Canis lupus familiaris: one gene and its partners. The protein of the gene in region 3 purifies or fractionates together with the protein of the main gene of each other region. This does not show direct contact. Links are inferred from orthologs where the notes say so. Each region holds a gene or a part of one and is shown on either strand. Other genes may lie near its edges.

What was found.
Region 1: the proteins of PTEN (region 3) and OTUD3 purify together in Homo sapiens (affinity purification with western blotting; 3 studies listed by BioGRID and IntAct, with this or other methods). This does not show direct contact. The link is inferred for Canis lupus familiaris from reciprocal best matches to the Homo sapiens genes PTEN and OTUD3.
Region 2: the proteins of PTEN (region 3) and CENPC purify together in Homo sapiens (affinity purification with western blotting; 3 studies listed by BioGRID, with this or other methods). This does not show direct contact. The link is inferred for Canis lupus familiaris from reciprocal best matches to the Homo sapiens genes PTEN and CENPC.

What each region holds. Positions count from the first base shown.
Region 1 is NC_049223.1:78,312,626-78,319,765, forward strand, and holds part of OTUD3 (OTU domain-containing protein 3), read right to left. Parts: intron 2,931-7,140; coding exon 2,799-2,930; intron 2,300-2,798; coding exon 2,203-2,299; intron 868-2,202; coding exon 683-867; intron 1-682.
Region 2 is NC_049234.1:58,900,520-58,907,659, reverse strand, and holds part of CENPC (centromere protein C), read left to right. Parts: coding exon 1-6; intron 7-1,114; coding exon 1,115-1,330; intron 1,331-3,608; coding exon 3,609-4,222; intron 4,223-7,140. UniProt on the Homo sapiens protein: Component of the CENPA-NAC (nucleosome-associated) complex, a complex that plays a central role in assembly of kinetochore proteins, mitotic progression and chromosome segregation.
Region 3 is NC_049247.1:38,115,390-38,123,134, reverse strand, and holds the start of PTEN (phosphatidylinositol 3,4,5-trisphosphate 3-phosphatase and dual-specificity protein phosphatase PTEN), read right to left. Parts: upstream 4,875-7,745; 5' UTR 4,767-4,874; coding exon 4,688-4,766; intron 1-4,687. UniProt on the Homo sapiens protein: Dual-specificity protein phosphatase, dephosphorylating tyrosine-, serine- and threonine-phosphorylated proteins.

The DNA of each region.
Region 1 (7,140 bases), on a different chromosome or scaffold from region 3:
CCTTTCTCTACATAATTTAATGCCCCAGGTAATCCTAACAAAATCCTCAGAAGCTTATTGCATCTTTACCTCTGCCTGTGGCTTTTTACATTATGCTGCATGTTGGGCTTAGAACTGCTTGGTGAAAGTCTTTAAAATGAATTCCAAAGTCAGTAAAAAGAATGGTGTCATATACCTACTTGCAGGAGTCAGGGGCAGGGAGGGAGACAGATAACCCTTCTGGGAACCATCTGACAATTTACCAAAAAGCCTTAAAAAGATTCAAATATCCATACCCTTTAATTTGTCCATTCCTCTTCTGGGACTCTAGCCACAAAAAAAAAAATAGTAACAACAATGCAAAATACAAAGATTCATACACAAAGTTTCTCAATGGAGATGACTTATGGGGATTGTGTAACAGATTAACACCGAAGCACCCAGACACACAGTGACACTGAGCAGGAAAGGGAGGCTGTGTGTGTGTACATAGAGGAGGATTTCAGGGCATAGTTCTATTCAGCACCGCACATAGCAAAACAGACAAGCAAGGACCTCCTTCTGCTTCTTGACATCCCCATATGCACTCTCGTATTTTTTTCTACAGTAACTTCTTTTTAGAACTCAGGAAAAAAAGAGGCACTAATATGAGCTCCAAGTTCCCCACCACTGCCAGTGAATTACAGCAGCCCACCTTTCATACCTTTGGGAGCTGGTTTTTATTTGCTTTGTTTTCTTCACTAGGGCTGGCCCGCTCCTTATTGTTTTCAGTTCTGCCTTCATTTACACCCTGATTTCCAAAGAGTCGGGTGCCACTGCCACCCTCCTCCCATAAAGGGCCACATTGCTTCAGAACTCGGCCGCCGGACTCAAGGTTCTCCTCTGTATCTTCCAAAGAAAGGTATTTAATTAAAATTGAGAATGTAACAACACACACTGTTAAGTGACTCCAATATCACCTGTCATGTGGAGAACAAGTTTCCTTGAAGCAAAACTCTAACACCCAGACCATACAGTAGGGAACCTAGTGGGGAAATAACCAGTAGTATCTGGAAGATAAATTTAAAAATAACCTGCTGACCAGCCTAATCATCAGCTTCCCACCTACAGAGTGTTTTTATTAAACTATTTTTTAACATGTATTTTTAGGAGGAAATCCTTCATTTGCACCTAAAGCCCAGAAAGGAAACAGGCTTCAAACCTGTACTGCCCAAAACAGCAGCTACCAGCCACATGTGGCCATTTAAGTTAAAATTAATTAGTTAAATGATATTTAAACTTTAGTTCCTTACTCACTGAGCCACACATGTCCAATACACACTATACTGAATGACAGAGACACTAGACAGTGGTGTTTTACTGTCACAAAGACCGAGTCCCTGACAGCTTTCTAAGAAAGCACAGCAAAAATATAAAGAGGATAATAAAATACTCAAACACACAGAAAACTATAATGCCAGGAACAGTATCTGACACATACTGGCAATATGTATTTTGTATGTGGCAATACTGTACCATTTTAATAAGTAACTTGTAAAAACAGTTAAGACTCTACATCTTTTTTCCCATCTCCTGAGGCACAGAATTTAACCCAATTCAAGTAAAAAAAAATCCGGGATGCCTGGGTGGCTCAGGGGTTGAGCGTCTGCCTTTGGCTCAGGGTCTGATCCCGGGATCCAGGTTCGAGTCCCATATCAGGCTCCTTGCAGGAGGCCTGCTCCCTCTGCCTGTGCGTGTGTCATGAATAAATAAATAAAAATCTTAAAAAAAAAAAAAGTTTAAAAAAATCTTGATTTATCACCAGCTGATAGATGTTAGTATCTAAATATTTCCATTAGAAAAATAAGTTATTTCTCTCTCTATTCTATTTCAGTTATCATTTTGGTTTTCTAAGGGATTTTTCTTTTGAAAAGAATAAAGTCTTCCCTGACACTCTCCATCCCTCCAAGACTAGTTAGGTGGCCTATCCATCCATTTCCCCAGTTCCCTATACCCTCAACTCCAGTAGGTATTATTATACCAGTTTATTATCTCCCCTCTGCCCCCCTCAACTCCAGATTATCTTCTCCCTAAGGCAGGGCTAGGATCTCATACAACATGCCCACATGCAGAAAGTGATAAATGACAGTGTAATCACTACCTATGCCTTGATTAAAAACAAATGTTTGGAGAATCACCAATACAACCATTTTGAAAGCTTATAAATATCAATCATGGACTTACTATTTCTTTTCCCCTGGTTCATCTGAAGCATGGCAATTATTGCAGATTCAATATTATAATTTTCAGCTTCCAGGTTCTGGACTATCAAATTAAAATCCTATCCAAGAAACAAAGGAACACTTCAAGACTGGGTATACTCTTCTACCTGCCTCTACGTCAACAGCCTGATACACAAGAAGAGGTAACAGTGAGAACTGAGGCATGGTTTCAAGACCTTTTCCATTTAGAAAATGTCTTAATTTTCAATAAGGCTGGTCATCTGAAATAACTAACCATTTAATATAAATGAATTCCTTTACAAGACTGCACTTTTACTAGGGTAAATGTTTAGCTAGTCAGGAAAAAAAATTAAAAATAAAAAAATAAACCCCACATACTTCTTAGGATTTTGAGCAGCACTGGGTAAAGTCTAACAAACAAGAGATAAATGAATAAACAGCTCTCATTTAAGTCTTCTAATCAAACCACAGACATCATGAACCTATTCTGGCCCACTGGGTGTGAGCAGCTAGACTGGTACTATGAAACTGGCAGGTAAACTAGGGATAGCAACAGTTGTTCATCCACTGTCATTACTACAGGACAGAAATACTCACTGAACAACCAGTTGCATTGCAAACTTTCTGGACAGCATCTTCTACTTCATCTCTCAGGTCATCTTCAAAGTCAATGCCCTTCGTCTTGATCTTTTCCCTTTTATTGGATTCATCTTGATGAAGCATCTGAAACTAAAGGAAATATAAAGAGTAATAATCATGGAACATACAAATTATGTTCAGCATCTTCAACACAAGAAGACATTCAAATTTCAAAATTATTCTAATATGTATTTATGTGGAAAAGATTCCAGGAACAATCTTAAGGACTAGTAATGACTAGGCTAAATTTCATCCAGACATGGAGATTCCAAAACCACAACAGAAGTATGAAAAAGAAAGAATCAAGAAATAGGATAAACGGGATCCCTGGGTGGCGCAGCGGTTTGGCGCCTGCCTTTGGCCCAGGGCATGATCCTGGAGACCCGGGATCGAATCCCACGTCGGGCTCCCGGTGCATGGAGCCTGCTTCTCCCTCTGCCTGTGTCTCTGCCTCTCTCTCTCTCTGTGACTATCATAAATAAATAAAAAAAAAATTTAAAAAAAAAAAAAAAAAAAAAAAAAAAAAAAGAAATAGGATAAACTGTAAGAATAGCATTAGCATTCCTATGTAGTTCCTAGATACCAACATTCTGCAATGACCACTGACTTGAAGCAGCACACATTTGTGTCAGCTGATTTCTAGAGCTGGGAGCTTAGTAACAGAAGCTCACCCAGTGACTTCTGCAGCAAGACAAGATGTCTTGAAGAAGCATTCATACATCTCTCATCTGGGTCCCTAGGCCCTACCTGACTATCAGCAAGCTTCAGTGTGCTGAAGCTCCTGTCCCGGCTGGACAGTCTCAGGTGAGTATGACTCATCTAACCTCACCTGACGTCATCTAACCACATGCATACCACCACATGCAAGGGAACCTGGCCATCCAAATTCTAAAAACACAAAGAACAGTTCACATGGTATCCATAAGGCCTTTCCCAACCTAAGCTTATTAAGAATAGCTAAAATCATCCTTCTGGGGCTGATCAGCCACCTTCTCCCTTCCTTTCCCACTAACATGGGTAGATGGAAAATAGGCAAGGACAAATTCCTATTCATTTGCATGCAAAAGTATAAGCGGAATCCAGCAGTGTACAGTCCATTCCTTACAATCAAAGCCATCCATTATAAAATTATACCCAAACAACCTGGCCATGTGTATCAAGTCTTTAAAATTTATCCAAAGGAAATAATGTCAAATCATGTCAACTATAGAAAGGATTCATGTAAAAGTGCTCACCACAGCGCTTCTAATAGTGGTGAATACCTGCAAACAACCTGAGGATTTCACGGTGTGTGGATGGTTAAATAACCATGGAAAATCCACACAATGATGCTTCATTTCCATTAAAGTAAGGAGCTCAATAAACATTTTCACTACCATTATTATTTAACAATGTTTTGGAGGTAACAGCCGATGCAACTGGCCCTCCTGGCCCCCAAAAAACAAAAGTATGAAACTGAAAAGGAAGAAGAAAGATTACCATTATTTGTAGATGATATAATTCTACACCTAAAAAAAAAAAAAAAAAAAAAAAAAAAAACAAGAGAATCAACCAAAAATCTACCACAAACAAAAAGGATTCTGGAAAATCATATACAAGAATCTAGTATACAAAATATATAAAGAACTCTCATAATGGAACAACAAAAGCACAAATACCACAATTAAAACATGGGCAAAAGACTTGAACAGACATTTCTCCAAAGACATACAAATGGCCAACAAACACATGAAAAGATGTTCAACATCATTAGTCATTAAAGAAATGCAAATCAAAACCATGAGATTACACTTCATACCTAGTAGGATACCCATAATTTTAAAAAGATGGAAGGAAAAAATACCAAGTGTTGGTAAGAGTGTGAAGAAAGTGGAACCCTGAATACAGTGCTGGTGGCAATGTCAGATGGTACAGCTACTATGGAAAACAATGTGGCAGTTCCTCAAGAAGTTAATAAACACATGACCTAGCAATTCTACTCCTGGGTACGTATCCAGAAGACTGAAGAAAGGGACCTTAATACTACACCCAAATATTCATAACTGCACTATTCACAAGAGCCTAAAGTGGAAATGACCCAAATGCTTATCAAGAGATGAAAGGATGATGGAATGGACTCTATCCACACTATGGAATAGGATTCACTCTTAGAACGGAATGAAATACGGACACCTGCTTCAACATGGACGACCCTTGAAAACATGATGCTAAGTGACATAAGCTAGTCACAAAAGCTCACATACTATATGATCCCATTTATGGAAAATATCCAGAACTGGCAAATCCACACAGACATAAAGCAGACTGGTGGCAGCTCAGGGAGAAAAGGAATGGGGAGTGACTGCTTTATTGGCACGTGGTTTCCTACTGGGTAAGGAAAATGTTCTGGAACTGGATGGAGGAAGGAGCTGCACAGCTTTGTGGGTGTACGCAGTGACAGTACATCGTACATTTTAAAATTATGTGGGTGGCACCTGGGTGGCTCAGTCGATTAAAGGTCTGACTTTTGATCTCAGGTCTTGATCTCAGGCTCCTGAGTTCAAGCCCTGCAATGGGCTCTATGCTGAGCATGGAGCCTACTTAAATATATATATTTAATTAATTTATTTATATTTAATTTAATTTATATATATATATATATATATATAGTTAATTTTATGTTACATGAATTTTACCTGAATTTATTTTTTTTAAAGATTTTATTTACTTATTCATGAGACACACAGAGAGAGAGAGGCAGAGAGACAGGCAGAGGGAGAAACAGGCTCTATGCAGGGAGCCCAATGTGGGACTCAATTCCAGGACTCCAGGATCACGCTCTGGGCCAAAGGCAGGTGCTAAACCGCTGAGCCACCCAGGCATCCCAATTTTACCTGAATTAAAAAAAAAAAAAAGAATTCTGCAGGATAGCTGGGCGTGCACAAAATTAACATTTTATTAACTCTCATATACACAAATGATAAGCAGCTAGGAAATAAAAAGGAAAGATTCTTTCCTTACAATAGAAACAAAAACACAAAACACCTAAGAACACACTCTGCAAAAAATGGGCAAGATCCATAGGAAGCAAATGCTCCTCAGATCACCAAAAAAGTCAATTAAACAAAACAAAACAAAAAAGGCTTATCAGTCTCTTGGCTAGGAAGATTCAACATCATAAAGATGTCACTTTTTCCTTAAGTTAATCTATCTATTTAATGAGATCCCAATAAAAACAAAATCAAGAGGACTTCCTTTTAACTTGACAACCTTATTCTAATATCTATACATAACACACAAGAAAAGGAAGAATATGCAGGAAATTATAAAGAAAGAAAAGTAATGATAAGTGAAAAATTCTACCAGATTTTTTTTCAAGATTTCACTTCTTTGAGACACACACACACACACAGAGGGAGAAGCAAATTCCCAGCCGAACAGGGAGCCCGATGCGGGGAGCCTGGCGTGGGACTCGATCCCAGGATCCAGATCACCACCTGAGCTGAAGGCAGATGCTTAACTAACTGAGCCACCAGGTGTAAATCTCTATCAGATTTTAAAATATGCTCTTAATCAAAACAACAAACACATTAACACATGAACAGAGAAACCAGTGAAATAGAACCAACATCTAGAAATAGACCCAACTACATATGGGAATTTTATATGCAAAAAAAGTGGTATTTTAAATCAGTGGAGAAGATATGTAATAATTAAATGGCTTGGATACAACTAGGTAAGTAACCACAAGGAAAAATATAAAGTTGGATCCATACACTCACATACTTATGGGAATATAAATTCCAAAGAGGTACAAGATACATAATTTTCTTTGAAAAAAACAAAACCACAAAAGTGGTTTTTTCTTTGAAAAAAAGCAAAACCGCATAAACTATAGGAGAATTCTTTTTAACCTCAGAGTATGAAAGACCTTCCTAATTATGACCCAAAACTCAGAAGACATATGTAAAAAAATAAATAAATAAAATAAAATAAAATAAATAAAATTTAAAAACCTGATATTTACCCTCATAAAAACCTAAAACACCACAGCAAAGATTGTTGGAGAAGGAATAAAAAGACAAATGGACAGACTGCAAAAAAATATTGGCAGATCCTACCACAGACAGGGCTTAATATGTAAAGGCTCCTGAAAAATCACTTAAGAAAACAAACAAGGGCAGCCCCAGTGGCTTAGCAGTTTAGTGCCACCTTCAGCCCAGGGCGTGGTCCTGGAGACCTGGGATCCAGTCCCAAGTTGTGCTCCTTGCATGGAGCCTGCTTCTTCCTCTGCCTGTGTGTGTCTCTGTCTCTCTATCTC
Region 2 (7,140 bases), on a different chromosome or scaffold from region 3:
AAAAAGGTAAATTTTTACCTATTCAAATAATAATGTGAATCCTGCTTTGAAAATTTTAAGTTATTTATTTTTAATGTATTTTATAGTAAATATTGAGGAATCTTAACATGAGAAGAGCATAACATACATCAGTTTATATTGTTTATATTTGATACAGAAAGCTTAAGGTATGCTTCAGAGAAGTTTGTGGGTAAACATTTCTATAGGCTGGAAAAAAAAGTATTTTCTTCTGATAATATGTTTTCTATAACTTCCTAAGAGTATTTTCTCTGTGTCATTTGTAATTACAGTGGTAGGTATGTGTTGGGTCATTTGTAGGGTAGCAGAAGGTAAGTATTTTGAGGGTAAATTGTGGTAAATCTATGTCTGTTTCTTGGGGCTTTCATTTTGGCCTTTAAGAGGCAAAGTAGATCATTCAAAGTCCTTTGCTGCTGGGTACCTTTGCAATGAGTGTAACTGTCTGCCTAGTGTCTTGTGTAATTCTTGGAGCCAAGGAGTTAAGTACATTCTAAGATTTTGCTATTCAGAATATTCTGTGGCTCAGGATCAAGAACAGTGGATGCATTATCTGGCAGTTTTTTAGAAATACAGAATCTCAAAGCCTACTTTAGACCTACTGAATCAGAATCTATATTTTGATAAGATTTTTCAGATTATTCAAAATCTCATGAAATGTTTGAGAACTAGTCCTCTAAGATACAGATTTCCTTGGTCTATCTCTTACTTTTTTCCATTGACAAATAAGAAATGTAATTTTCTTTGTATATTTTAAGAGATTACAGATCAGAACGTGGAGATTTTAAAGGCCTAGTGGAAAAAAAAATTTTTTTTAAGATTTTATTTATTTATACATAAGAGAGACCAAGAAAGAGGCAGAGACATAGGCAGAGGGAGAACCAGAGGGGGAGCCTGATGCAGGATTTGATCCTAAGACTCTGGGATCACCACCTGAGCCAAAGGCAGACGCTCAACCCACTGAGCCACCCAAGTGTCCCGGCCTAGTGGAAAATTTTGTAAGTGGTCTGTATTGTCACTGAAAACTTTATTGTTCAGGAAAACTTATAACTCAGCAAACTGTGAGATTATACAACTTGCCTTCCTTTTAACCTTCAAGGTTAAATTTTGAAGAAAAAAGTGTTTTGAAGAAAGGAGAAATAGCAAATAAAGTATCAGAAATAGAAGATAAAGTATCAGAAGAAACACAAAAGAGGAGATCATTAAGAATATCTCAGAAAAGAGTACAAGACTCAGAAGATGAAATTCAGCCACAAACTAAAAAAAGTTTTTCAACATTGTTTTTAGAAACTGTAAAACGAAAAAGTGAATCCAGGTGAGTTACTAAGAAGCTGCCTTTGAGGCAATTTTATTTTACATTCTGTGAACAATATCAAGGATTCTTAATGCTATTTAAATAGATTCTTAATGCTAAATGCTATTTATATAGAAGTTAATCTTATTTGGTACAAATTTTAATTGAAATTATGCCTAACTCTCACAGCAAATCACTCCCAAAGCCATCATTAAATATCTACTAAATTAAATGTGAAAGACAGTAAGTTTTTTCAGCTTTCATTGCTTCTGTTCATTAGCACTTTCAAATCTGTATGATACCAAAGAATGAAGGCAGTATTTAGAAACAGAATTATGTCATGATGTATTTCACTATTAAGGGCTTTAACACTTTTACTTTTCTTCTGCTTGTGTTAATAAATTTTAGTCTGTTTTGGCCTCCTTAAAACCTTTAGAGGTTCTTCAGTGTCCATACAGTGATCTTAACTGGCTGCACATTACAGTTAACTACAATTAATGTCAGCTAGGGTTGAGAACCACTGGCCTATATAAACTTCAGATTTGTCAGCTGGTATTTAAAACCTTCACTCTCCCTGGTTACCTGTTTCTGCCAACTTGGTCATACACATTTGCATTTGTCTGTTTTGGCATACCATTTTTCCCTTGTCATATGCTAGTCTTTTTCTTTTCTGGTGACATCTGCTTCCTGGGTCATGGATGGCTATCTTCTTTCTACAACCTCACATGGCAGATGATAGCAAGAAGGCTTTCTGAGGCTTCTTTTATGAGGGTGTTAATTCTATTCATTAGTGTTCTACCCTCATGACTTAATCACCTTGTAAAAGCCCCATCCCCAAATACTATTCCACTGGGGATTAGGTTTCAGTTTATAAATTTTGGAAATATACAGACATTCAGTCTATAGCAAGTGTCAACGTTGTTTCCTAAGGATATCTTCAGTTTGACTAATCATGATGTTTTGGAAGTCCCTTGAAGTAAAATAGAGGCGCAAATTTAGAGAATTCTTATTGGCCGGTTTAGGAAGGCTTAATTTTTAAATTCTTAGCATTACTTCTTTATATACAAAAACTTAATAGATGAGTTATATACAGTAAGGCAAATTAAACCTGTTTATAACAGATTGGCTATTTCTCTAAATGTTGAAAAGTAATATTTCTGTTTAAATATTCATACATTGTGGTTTTCTATTTATATTGACTTGGTATTCATTAGATTTTCTAGAGTTTTCTAATCATATAAACTTGCAAAACTCTACTTGTTAGAAGATAGTATATTTCTTAGTGTATATATATGTGTGTGTGTGTGTATAAATATATATATATTTATATATAGAGATTATAAGATTTATCAGGGGTTTGAGATTAGAAAAGTAGAGAAGGCATTTTCATTTCATAATCTTTTTGTATATTTTATTAATGAAAATATAGAAGAGGCAGACACGATAATGCTTAAGGATCCTGACTCAAGCGGAAAAGGCAGAAACAGGAGTACATATGCTAGCTTCAGAGTTTGGGTGTTTACCCTAAGTTTTTACTTATGCATATCTCACTTCAGTAGGTGTTTTGCTTGAGGCTGTTGTTATAAAAACGAAGGAAATGCAGAAGAGTCCATCAGATTACTATCCTTTGAATAATTCCTTCCTTCTCTAGAAAGCTTTCCCAACTAATTGGAAGAGATGCTGTTTAATTCCTATTAGATTACCTTTCTAGATACTTTTCATTTATTTCTATACTGTGATTCCAATATTAAAACTTATTTGAAGACGTATGTGATTATCAAACTTGGAATGAATTTTTATATTATTTAGTGCATAAATTTGTAGTGTTTTCTTAGACTATTATACTTGAAGATGCCTTGGAAATGACATTGTTTTGGATGTAAAGAAATCTGGCCCCTAAGAGACATCTATACAGACCTAGAATTAGTATAACAGTATAAATAATAATGGCATGCATTTTTGGACTGTAGGTCAATGTCTCTGGGCTGTTTAACACATCTGCGGGTTTCAACTATTCAATATATATAATGGGTTGGGGGAGCCTTAAATTAGTTGATGTCTAGGCTTCCTTCCAGCTCTGAACTTCTGTGATTTCATTAGTGTTTTAAATGAGTATAATTGGGTATTACAGAAATGTAAAAGGAGAGGAGGATTTTCAAGGGTAAGAGAAAATTGACGAGATGTATACTGTTCTTTAAAAGATACATAGATTATATTTCCTATTTAGATTATTTTCTTCACAAAGCAAAGGTAAAAACTTTATTTTTTGAGCTATTACTTATTGTAACATCCTGTTTAGTCCTGTTGTTAGGCATATAGCAACTGCTCCACCTCATTCATCTCCTTCAAATGACCTAACGTTGTTAGAGGATGAATTTATAATTGATGAATCAGAAAGCAGTATTGCCAGTCAACCTTGGATTACTATACCCAGAAAGGCTGGGTCTCTGAAACAGTGCACAGTGTACCCTGCAGAGAGCTCTGCACTACTTCAAAGTAAGAAGTCAAAAGAAAAACATCACAGCCTGTCACCTACAGCTTTGACAAGTGACAAACATTCTGACACAGCTTATGCAGTAGAGACGTCTCCGCCCTCTGAACAAAGAAGACTGGGTAGAAGTTGTGCTTCGACAAATGAACTGGAAAATGATTATAGATCTACAAAACATGAAATGTATTATGAGAATGCAGAGAAATCATCTGGAAAGAAAAAGACTATACAACAACAAGAGAGAGGAAAATTTAAGGCCAATATCCTTGAAGAACAGGTTGATATGGAACAATCGAAAGATAACAATATAAATGTGTCACATATCACCCAAGATAAATTACAGAGAAATTCAGATAGAAATATGGAAGAGTGTGAAAAGGTGATAAATGTTGGTATTTCCAAAAAACAGATGCTGCCTGTGGGTAAGTGTTTTATATTAAGTATAACTATGAACAGTATTCCACAACTTTGTTTTTATAATATTTCTGTTTAGCTTTGGGAAGTAGGCAAAGTAAAACTAAATCTGTAGGCTCTTTTCTAGCATCTGTCTTTTACCTACAACTAAATTCTGAGTCACTTGAGTTTTGTGTAGCTTCTAAGATGGTAGTATATATAAAGGGAAAAGTGAATGGGAAAGACTCATAAACCAGGTAGTTACCAGAATATGAATAAGACAACATCATATATTCTTTGAGGTTTATTGAAATATAAACTGGGAAGAAAAAAACAAGATTAGTATGGGGCTATTTATTACAGAATAAAATTCATACTCTTTTATTCCATCATTTTCTCATTAATCTAACAGTAAATTGCTAGACACTGTATTTAGGTAGTGAAATTAACAAAGATTACTGAGACACAGTTATCACCATTAAAAAAATCGATCTAGTAGTGTCTGTAGACTAGCAGATATACACATATATTCATAGGCCAGTAGTAGAATTAGAGACAGTTATCCAAGTAATATCTCAATAGATCTTTTTATCTTGTTTCACTATATTACTTATCCAAGCTGGGAGACTTGAGAATTAAAAGGGATTTCAGGACAGGAAGCATAAACTGAGATTGTCTCAGACAAAGCTGGAGTATGGTTATCCTCTTTATGTCATTATTGTATAGTGATTAAGGTTTGTAATGATGAAACTCTCATGAAGAAAAGATCCATTTATATTCTTTATACCGCTTTCTAAGTAATAGAAAAGGTAATTTTTCTTACAGGTTTCTTTAGAATAGTTAATGGAATAGAAAACACTTAATAAATGTATTAGATATTTTATATGTACATAATATAATTTAATCCTTCTTGATAATCCCATATGTTAGGAGATAACACTCAAGGTTAAAAAAACTGGCTGAGGATCTGTCTCCTCGTTAGAGCCTATATTTTTTTTTTTAATATTTTTTTTAATATTTTTTTTAAATTTTTATTTATTTATGATAGTCACAGAGAGAGAGAGGCAGAGACACAGGCAGAGGGAGAAGCAGGCTCCGTGCACCGGGAGCCCGATGTGGGATTCGATCCCGGGTCTCCAGGATTGCGCCCTAGGCCAAAGGCAGGCGCTAAACCGCTGCGCCACCCAGGGATCCCAGAGCCTATATTTTTTAAGCACTATAAAGAAGTTTTGAAATAAGTGGAAGTGTTTTTGGTAGTCATTTGAAAAAACTATTAGTTAACCAGAAAACTCTCTTCACTATAATTGTGTTTGTACCTAGAGGTTCTAGATGACTATAACATATTGCTGATAAAGAAGGGAGAAAGAGGTAAAGTACGGTGTTTAAGCTAGTTTTTATGAAAAATTCCACTTTAATTATTACTTATTCAATTACTTTAGCTTTCTTTTTGTATAATCTATAACATAGACTTTAAATTACCTGAATTAATGGTTGTCACACATTAGTTTTGTCTGTTCGTACCTTTGTGTATTTGAAAAATTCTGCTTAAAATAAAGGGAGAAAAAAGCCACCGTTTTTATTTTGTGGACCTCTCTTGTAAATGTCCAAATGTCCCAGGTTATTTTTTAAAAATATTTTTATTTATTTATTAGAGAGAGAGAGCATGAGCAGGGTGGTGGTGGCAGAGGGAGAGAGAGAAACCGACTCCTCGCTCAGCAGGGAGCCGGATGAAGCAGGGCTAGAACCCAGAATCTTTGGAATCATGACCTGAGCCTAAGGCAGATGCTTAAGTGATTGAGCCACCCAGGCTGGCCGGCTGGCTGGCCTGCCTGCCTGCCTGCCTTTCCTTTTCTCAGGAGGTGGGTATTTTAAGAAAATAAAAAGAATCTGACTAAACTGAAGTTACATTATAGGAAAGTTTTTTTTCTTATTAGTCCCTTAAAATATGAATTCACAAAATTTGAAGCTACAAAAATTTTTATTTATCCTAAGTTCTTAGGAAAAAAACATTGTATCAAGAAAGTATACTTGAAGGATACTCTGTTTAATTAAATGCCAAATTCTTCACATTGATTTTCAGGTATATTAAATTCTTCTTTATCTAGATTGTTTAGTGACTATAATTTCTGATTAATTACCAGTTGTATTAATTTTCTATCACTGTCATAACAAATTACCACATACTTAGTGACTTAAAAAACATACATGTATTTTATAGTTCTATGGGTCACAAATCTGAAATAGATTTCATTGGGCTAAAATCAATGTGTTGACAAGGTTGCTTTTCTTGTGATTCTGGGTGAGAATCTGCTTCCTTGTCTTTTCCAGCCTCTTGAAGTTGTTTATATCCTTGTATCATGATTTCCTTCTTTTATCTTCCAAGCCAGCAATACCAGCCTTCTTACATTTCCATTTTCTTTTACCTCTTCTTCCATTGCCCTTTCTGACCACTACTTTTAAGAACACATATAATTAGATTGGACCAGCCTAGATAATCCAGGATAAGTCTGATTCTCCTATTTTTTTGTTTGATTTCCTTCTATTCTTTATTGACTTCTTTTTCTCATTTCACTTATAAATTTTCGTGATTCTTTCCATATTCCTCAAGTTTAATAGTTTGCCCTTTGTTCTTCCTTTATATTCATACCTTGAGAAAATTATTCCTTTGCTTCCATCTGAATTATTTTCCCAAATTTACCTTCAGAGTAAAAGTCTGGTCTTGTATTTCCTGTATTTCCAGATTTCAACCCGAATTATGTTCTCATCTTTTTGAAAAGTTCTGTACAGTTTCATCTTTAATTATGTGATTATGTATAATACCTATCTGCTCCTTTGGTCTTACAGACTTTATGTAATTTGTTTACTCCATGAATATTTCCTACTTAATAGGGGTTTAATTCTTTTTTTGGATCAGAAGTCTTTTCTCAGATGCTTCATAAATGCTGGT
Region 3 (7,745 bases):
AAAATTTCAAAAACTTAGAGGCTAGGTGAAGAGTCAAATCCAATATGCTAACTTTACCTTTCCTGACAAAGGAAACTATTGTCCATTAGTGGGTGCAGGTATCCAGTGCTTAGAAAAGCAATCATATTGACAGACCACCCAGCAAAGAATGCATGTGGCAGTAAGTGGCCTTTATAAAACAATTAAGGATATCAGTTTGCTCAGCAAATCCTTACGAACTTAAGGTTATGCAGTCTAACCTCAACATTACTGACAGCTCTGAGAGCAAATGCATTCATTTCAAAGCTACCAGACAGAAAGCCACTGTAAAACTGAATATTTACTGAAATCATTACTGACCCCTATCTCAGACGTTGATACAAATGTCTTAAGTCTCTCCATCCTTAGAACAAATTCTAACACATTTTCTCAAAGAATTCAGGTCACCAAAAGAATTCTCCAATGCTGACCTCACTTAAAATCAAAGTTTAGCTCACAAAAACAGAGAGGGAGAAAAAAGGTAAGAGTGAGGTCTCTGCAAGATAGAAACAGAACTTAAGAACTCGTGGTCTCTAAAGGGGAAAAAAAAAATGATATCAAAGAAATGTTTTACATGATAATTAATAACATAGCTTCTGGAAGCTAAATCCTTCCTTGTACCATGACCAAGCCCAAACATTCCAAGGAAGTGAGAAACTATCATATGCATGCACACTTCTCAATCTCTCTTTACAAACTCCATTTCACATACATTACTGTAGTATAAAAACATTTCCTACACATCTGTCTTACTAAAAAGGCTGAGGTCAAAACTTTACAGTACAATGTTTACTGAGAGTGAATTAATGTTGAAACTTTGTGCACTGATTTTCCCATAATAAATATTCCTTCATTAAAAGTCACTGAAGTGATTAAGTGGCTTAAGATATATTAAAAAGTACTAAGCTATCACCACACAAATCAACAGCAAACGGGGCAACTCTCAAAATGAGAACATGTGAAAATAAGAATCAGAGATTTCACTTCTAAAAACCAAGGAAACCTCGAACATTAAGAAGTTTGAGTATTTTTTTTGAGTGGTTATTAGGAAAAAGCAGATACACCGTCCCACATAAAAACTAAAATATCAATAGCCGCCTTTCTCGTGTTAAAGTAAAATTCTAAAAGGTAAGGAACACCAATGCATCTTTTTCTATGCTCTCTAAAAATAAATGTAAAACTACGGTGGTTATACCTCACCATATTTTATGACGCTTATTCATCTATTATTCATTTAGTGTATCATAAGCAATGTAAAATCTGTACTGATGGTTGTACTCCTGTGCAAACTTTTACAATGGACAGCAATAAAATTCCTTTTTCCTTATACAAAGTCATATAAACTGTGAATTATTCTCCTTTTAGATGCGCTCTATTCTTGAACAATCTTTATGAAAATGAAGTTTGTAAACTGTTACACAGCGATCAGGATGCCCAGTCATGTTGCTCGGAAAAGAAATACAACTTAGCAGATACAAAACAGTGTAAAATAAAAACTGTGAATAGAATCTTAAAAAAACAAAACAACTACAACAAAAAAAAAAAGAAAAAAAAAACCACCTCACAATACGGGCACTTCAGTAATCACTGATCTTAAAAGATAATACAGTTAACTTCCATAGTCACTGTTACCCTCTACAAGTTAAAAATACTCCCTATGGTTAATATTTGAAAAGACGCAAACTTATCAAGATGTAAAAATACATACAAACAGAGCCTAAAGTTCCCATGAAATCTAAAGACACTAAAATTTTTTTTAGTCTCATGGTCACCACCATTTTCCAGACTAACAGATGTTAACAAATTATTTTTAGGACAACTCAATTTTGCAAATAATCGTCTTCAGTTTTCCTCTGAGAAATCACTACGTTCTTCATCTTTCTTATCAGATAGAAATGCTCCAATCACTACTCTCATAAGGGAACGTAACTTCTCACAGGCTAGCTGCTGAAGCAGACACTACAACCTGCCAAAGTCCTCAATGGCCACCTTAATTTCCCCCCACAATACACAGAGAACCCTAAAGCGAAACCAAGCAAACCAAAGTGCACTGGTGTAATCAAAATTATTGGAAGTCCAACTAACAAAAAAAAAAAAAAAAAAAAAAAAGAGCCCTTCACTGACTTTTTCCTAAATGATTTTTTTTTCATATATTTGGCTCAATAAAACCACAACTCTAGAAATCAAGTGTTACTAGTCATTTGACGCAGCGTCTGACACTGCTTTCTATGCACACCCTAACTAAAAGTACCCTTCTAGTAACAGTCTCTAGGTCACGTAAATTTCAGGTATGGAGGCACACACCTGTGAAGTCAAAGGCGAGCTGGCCAACCAGCTCAGGACTCCTGTGTAAGAACCCCGCAGAACGATCTGAATCTTAAAGCCCTGACTATTTTAGAGCAAATGGGTAACGTAAAAATAAACCTACTCTGAATGATAAAAGCAATCTACCAAACAGCATCCACAGACATTGGTTTTTGCACGGGGATTTTTTCCTAAAAAGTCAAAGAAACGTGTAATCAATTTGTTCCTATACACCCAGACGGCTGTCAGTTCACACTAACGCTAGATTGCTTTTGAAATAAATTACAAATCAGAAGTTGTCCAGCAACTGGTCACCTTCTAGGCAAGCGGGTCAAGTTCAGCCTGACCAGTGTTGCAATCAATGCAGACTCCAAAACTTCTAAATAGTCTTCTAATACATAATTTTTTAATCAACAGAAAACTTACGTTTTGTGTGCTAGAAAGCTCCTTCTTCGGTGACTTTTACCTTCAGCTCAAAACAGACACTTGGGCAGAATTAGCTGTGCACGTTTATGTGCTGCTATGTAATCCAAAGGGAATTATAAAAAAAAAAAAAAAAAAAAAAAAACCTCTTCAGATGTAAAGAATTTTCTTCAAAAACCAAATCCTCCCCACAGTGTTTAGCAGGACATATGGATCCTTCAGCGCCACTCCACCTTTAGGCAAAATGTTTACTGGTGTTCGCTAAAAATGATCTTTATTAAGAATCCTCCAATAACAACCGACGCAATCACGTTTGAACTAAATACCGTCCACTGTTATAATTCACATCACCAAACTTCTGGCCTTCACAGAGGCCTTGTTAATAAGATGCTGTGGGCATCTCAGACCCACAAGTCAATTCTGTTTTTCATGCCTTAGACACTGGCCTAAGCAGGAACGCTGAACGCCTGTGATACTTTCCATTCTGGGGGAAAAAAAAAAAAAAAAAAAGGAGGGCTCTCTGCCCCAACTCTTGATCAAAACCAGTTCATTATACCTGAAACTGCCAAGATCAATGCCTTTCAATAACCGCTATCTTTTCAGGTACAAAGGCCTAACTTTTAGGCAACCGAAACGATACTCCTGTTAAAAATTCTCGGGTTTCTGTGTCATTCAACAACCTGAGTCAGTAAATTCAAGACACTGTGTGGAAAACCAGCTAACATACCTAGACCATGCGAAGCTGGAGTGATCCGCTCTTGCCTGCGTTGCTGGTGATTAGCTGGTAAATTACACCTGACCTTACACCCGAGCCCGAGTACAATTAACGGACATCACGCGGCGTCAGGAGTCCTGAAAGCTGGATGAGGTGAGCAGCAGTTCTGGACTCGCAGTGGCACTTGCATTTCAAGGAAGAACTGAAGCTTCATGTCTGCAATCACGATTTGCTGCACACAATACCCCAGAACCCACACAACACGCTCCTCCGGCATCAAGAAGCAGTCAATCCCCATTCTGCTACGTGAGACAAGACCACTGAACCTAAAATGCGGCTGAGCTGCAAAATCCCATGCCCTGTCCTGGATCACCCCATCAAGGGAGGGGGGAGGGGGGGAGGGGGAGGGGGAGGCAAATTTCAGAAAGACCGAGCAGCAAGAGCGGCTCAGGACGTGCGTTACCTGTGACACTATTGATCGCGAACTACACAACTTGGGAGAGGCAGTTCCCGGTTGTAATTCAACTCGGCGTGAGCACACGCGAACCTACTTTCTGTGCCCTCCAACGAACGCCCCGAGTGCTGAGAGCGATTCTGCTTCCAAAGTTATGCAAATCAGCTCACAACTCCCATTACGAATTAAAAAAAAAAAAAAAGTCTATCAATGCGAGCAACCCAGGAAACTAAATCACTGCGAGATTCTGATGCAATCTGCATACGTGCAACGCTAATTTTCATCTTCATCTAATCTGTGCCGTCGATCTGGGGGCCTAAAGCCAAGGTTTGACCGAAACGTGCTCGACCCCGGAGCCCGGGCGCCGCGTCCCCTCCGCGCGTCGGGCAGCCCGGGTTCCCGGCTCCGGGGTCCGCCGAGGGGCACCGAGTCCCGCGGGCGCGGACAATGGCCCTCCGGAGGGGCCGGGCGCGCGCAGGGCCGGGACCCGCCGCCGCCCGACAGCCGCGGCCGGGCGGAGGGGCGGAGGGGCGGAGGGGCCGGGGGCGCCGGGGCCGGGGCGCCGGGGCCGGGGCCGGGAACGAGGTCGGAGGCCGGGCCGGAGCCCCGAGGCCGAGGTCGGAGGCCGGGCCGGGGAAGCCGAGGCCGGGGTCCGGGGTGCGGGTGCGGGTGCGGGTGCGGGTGCGGGCGCGGGGTCCCGAGTCCCGGGTGCGGGTGCGGGTGCGGGGTCCCGGTGCGGGTGCGGGGGCCCGCGGCCGCGCGGAAAGGGATACAGGTCAAGTCCAAGTCGAACCCATCCTCCTGGTAGCGCCTTTTGTTTCTGCTGACGATCTCCTTGATGATGGCTGTCATGTCTGGGAGCCGGTGGCTGGAGAGGAAGGAGGAGAGAGACGGCAGGAGCGGCGGGCGGCGCGGCCTCCTCCGCAGGCTGCAGGCGGCCCCGGGCCTGGCGGCGGGCGGCCCTCGCGCGGCCGGGGCGGGCGTCGGCGGCGGGGCCTGCGCGCGCTCAGGCGGGCTGGCGGCCGCGGGCCGGGGCGGCGCCGGGGGGCCGGGCGGCCGGGCGGCGGCGGGGGGCAGGCTCTCGGGCGGCCCGGGGCCCTGCGCGCGCCGCCGCCGCCGCCGCCGTGGTGCGGGCGGGAGCGGGGGGGGCAGCGGGGCGCCGGCGGCCGCGGCCCCCTCCCCGGAGCCGCCGCCGCCCGGCCGGGCCCGCGGCTTCCACGGTCCCCCGCGCGGGGCGCCGAGCGACGGGAGCACGGCTAGACGCGGGCGCGGGGGGCGCGGGCGGGGGCGCGGGCGGGCGCGGGCGCGGGCGGGCGCGGGGGCGCGCGGGCGGGCGCGAGGGCGGGGGCGCGGGCGGGCGCGGGCGCGGGCGCGGGCGGGGGGGCGGGCGCGGGCGCGAGCGCGAGGCCGAGGCCGAGGGCGGGCCGCCCGCCGCTGCCGCTGCCGCTGCCGCTGCCGCCGCCGCCGGCCGGCCGGCTCCCCGAGGGCGCTGCCCCCGCGGCTGCTCACGGGCGCTGAGAGGGGCTCTGGGCCGCGGCCGCCGCCGTCTCTCATCTCCCTCCCTGCGCGCGGCCTCGCCTCTCCGCGGCGCAACTCTCAAACTTCCATCATGGCTGCAGCTTCCGAGACGAGGCGCCGAGCAGCGCGCACGCCCGCCCCGCCGCGTATCCTGCCGCGGCGCACAAAGAGTCCCGCCACGCCGCCGCCGCCGCCGCCGCCGCCGCCGCCGCCGCCGCCGCGAGCCCGGCGCCCCGGAGCCCGGGGGGAGGCGGGGGCCGGGGGGAGGCGGGGGGAGGCGGGGGCCGGGGGGGGCCGGGGCCGGGCGGGGGGAGGGGCGGGGGGCGACCGCCGCGCATGCCCAGTGCGAGCGGCCCCCGGAGCTGCACTTGCCGCGGCCGCTCCTGCAGCGGCGGACGGACGGACGGGCGGGCGGGGGCGTCGGGGACCCGAGTCGGACGGAGGTCGCCGCGCACCGGGGGCGCAGGGGGCGAGGGCGGGGCCAGCGGACCCGGGGCGCCCCTCCCCCGCCCGCAGCTCCCTGTGTCCGCCCCGTGTGCCCCCGCGTGTCCGCTCCCCGCGTGTCCGAGCACGAGGAACACCCCCACTATGGCCCTCGCGTGGCCACTGCCCCCGTGCCTGCTCCCCGCGTGTCGGTGTGACCACGAGCACCCCCCGCGCGTGTTCCCCCGTCCCTCCCGCATTGGTGTGAGCACGAGGACACCCACATTGTGCCCCCCGCGTGTCCGTCCCCCGCGTGTCGGCGTGAGCACGAGGAACACCGCCATTGTGTCCCCGCGTGTCGGTGTCCCCCCGCGTGTCCCCCCGTGCCTGTCCCTCGCGTGTCCGCCCCCCGCGTGTCCGCCCCCCGCGTGTCGGCGTGAGCCCGAGGAACTCCCCCCATTGTGTCTCCGCGCGTGTCCCCGCCCCCGGCTCGCCCCGCCGCCCCACCCCCGCCGCCGCGGGCCCAGGACCCCGGGGACGCGACCACCGCGCCGCCCCGGCCTCGCCCCCGAGAGCGGGCGTCCGTCCCTCGGGGCGCCTGCTGCCCGGTCCGCGCGGGGCTCGGGGCTCGGGGCTCCGGGCTCCGGGCTCCGGGCTCCGAGGCCGCCTGGCCCCGCCCCCCGCGGGCCGCCGCGAAAACCCGGCCGGCTGGATGGCCGCGGGCCGGCGTGGGCGTCCGCGCGTCGGGCTGCGCCCCGGGCCCGAGCCAGGAGTCCGGGCCGGGAGGGAGCGCCGGCCCGGCGGGTGGGCGGGGCCGAGGGGCTTCAAGGGGCGGCGGAGGGCTCCGCGGGCCGCGGCCGGGACTACTTCCAGGGGCGGTCACGTGTGCCCTAGTTGGGGAACTTTCCAAATTCCCAGTCCCCGAGGAGGGTCGGGGGCGGCCGGCGAGCGGCGGCGGTGGGGCGGCGAGTGGCGGGCGGCGGGCGGGCGCGGCGCCGGGGGAGCTGGTTACACAAGCACCCGCGTCCACGCACGTGCCCCCCGCGGCCGGACAGCCGGGGCCGGTGGCCGCAGAGCCGGGGCCGGCCTCGCCCTGCGGCGGCTGCGCTGCGCTGCGCTGCGCTTCCCTGCGGCGGCTGCGCCGGGCCCGGGGACTGTCGGGTGCGCCCCGCTGCGGGCCCCGCTGCTCGGAGGGCTCGGCCCGGCCGTGCGCCGCCACCGACCTGCCGCCTGAGCCCCGGCCCCCTCCACGCCGGCCGAGGGGCGCCGCGCCCGTTGCCCTGCCCGGGGAGCACCACCAGGCGGGCCGGGGCCGCCCAGAGGAGCGGGGCTGCAGCGGGGCCGGAGCGGGGCCGGAGCGGCCTGCGGGTGAAGCGCAGGGAAGTGACGCGCCGCCCGGGGAGGTGCGCCAGGACGCGGAGGCCGCCCGGAGCGGCTGTCCCGGCGCGCGGTGCTCGCAGGCGGCCCTCGCTACGCCCGCGGCGCCCAGAGCGCCCCTCGGATGGCCCCGGCCCCGGCCCCGGCCCCGCCCTCGCGCTCGGCCTCCCTCCGGGGAGCGCCGCAGGAGGTCGCAACCTGCGGGACCCTCGCGGTCCGTGTCGGTCGGAGCCCGCGTGGGGCGGGGGGAGGCCACACGTAGAAGAGGGAAGCGGGCGGGGGTCCGGGGGAGTAGGGGAGGGCTCCGTCGGGTCTCCAGAACCGAAACCCGCGTGCGCGGCCTGCGGTGGGCCAGAGGCTACGCGGGACGCCCTGCCCTCCAGCTGTGCCGCCGGGTCGCAGGGTTCCGGAGCCGAGCTGCGCTGCCCCGAGCAGCGGATGCTGCTACCTGGTGGGGGATGGGAGACGAGGAGCAGGTTCAAGGAAGGGAGGTCGGCGGCGGAAGGCAGAACT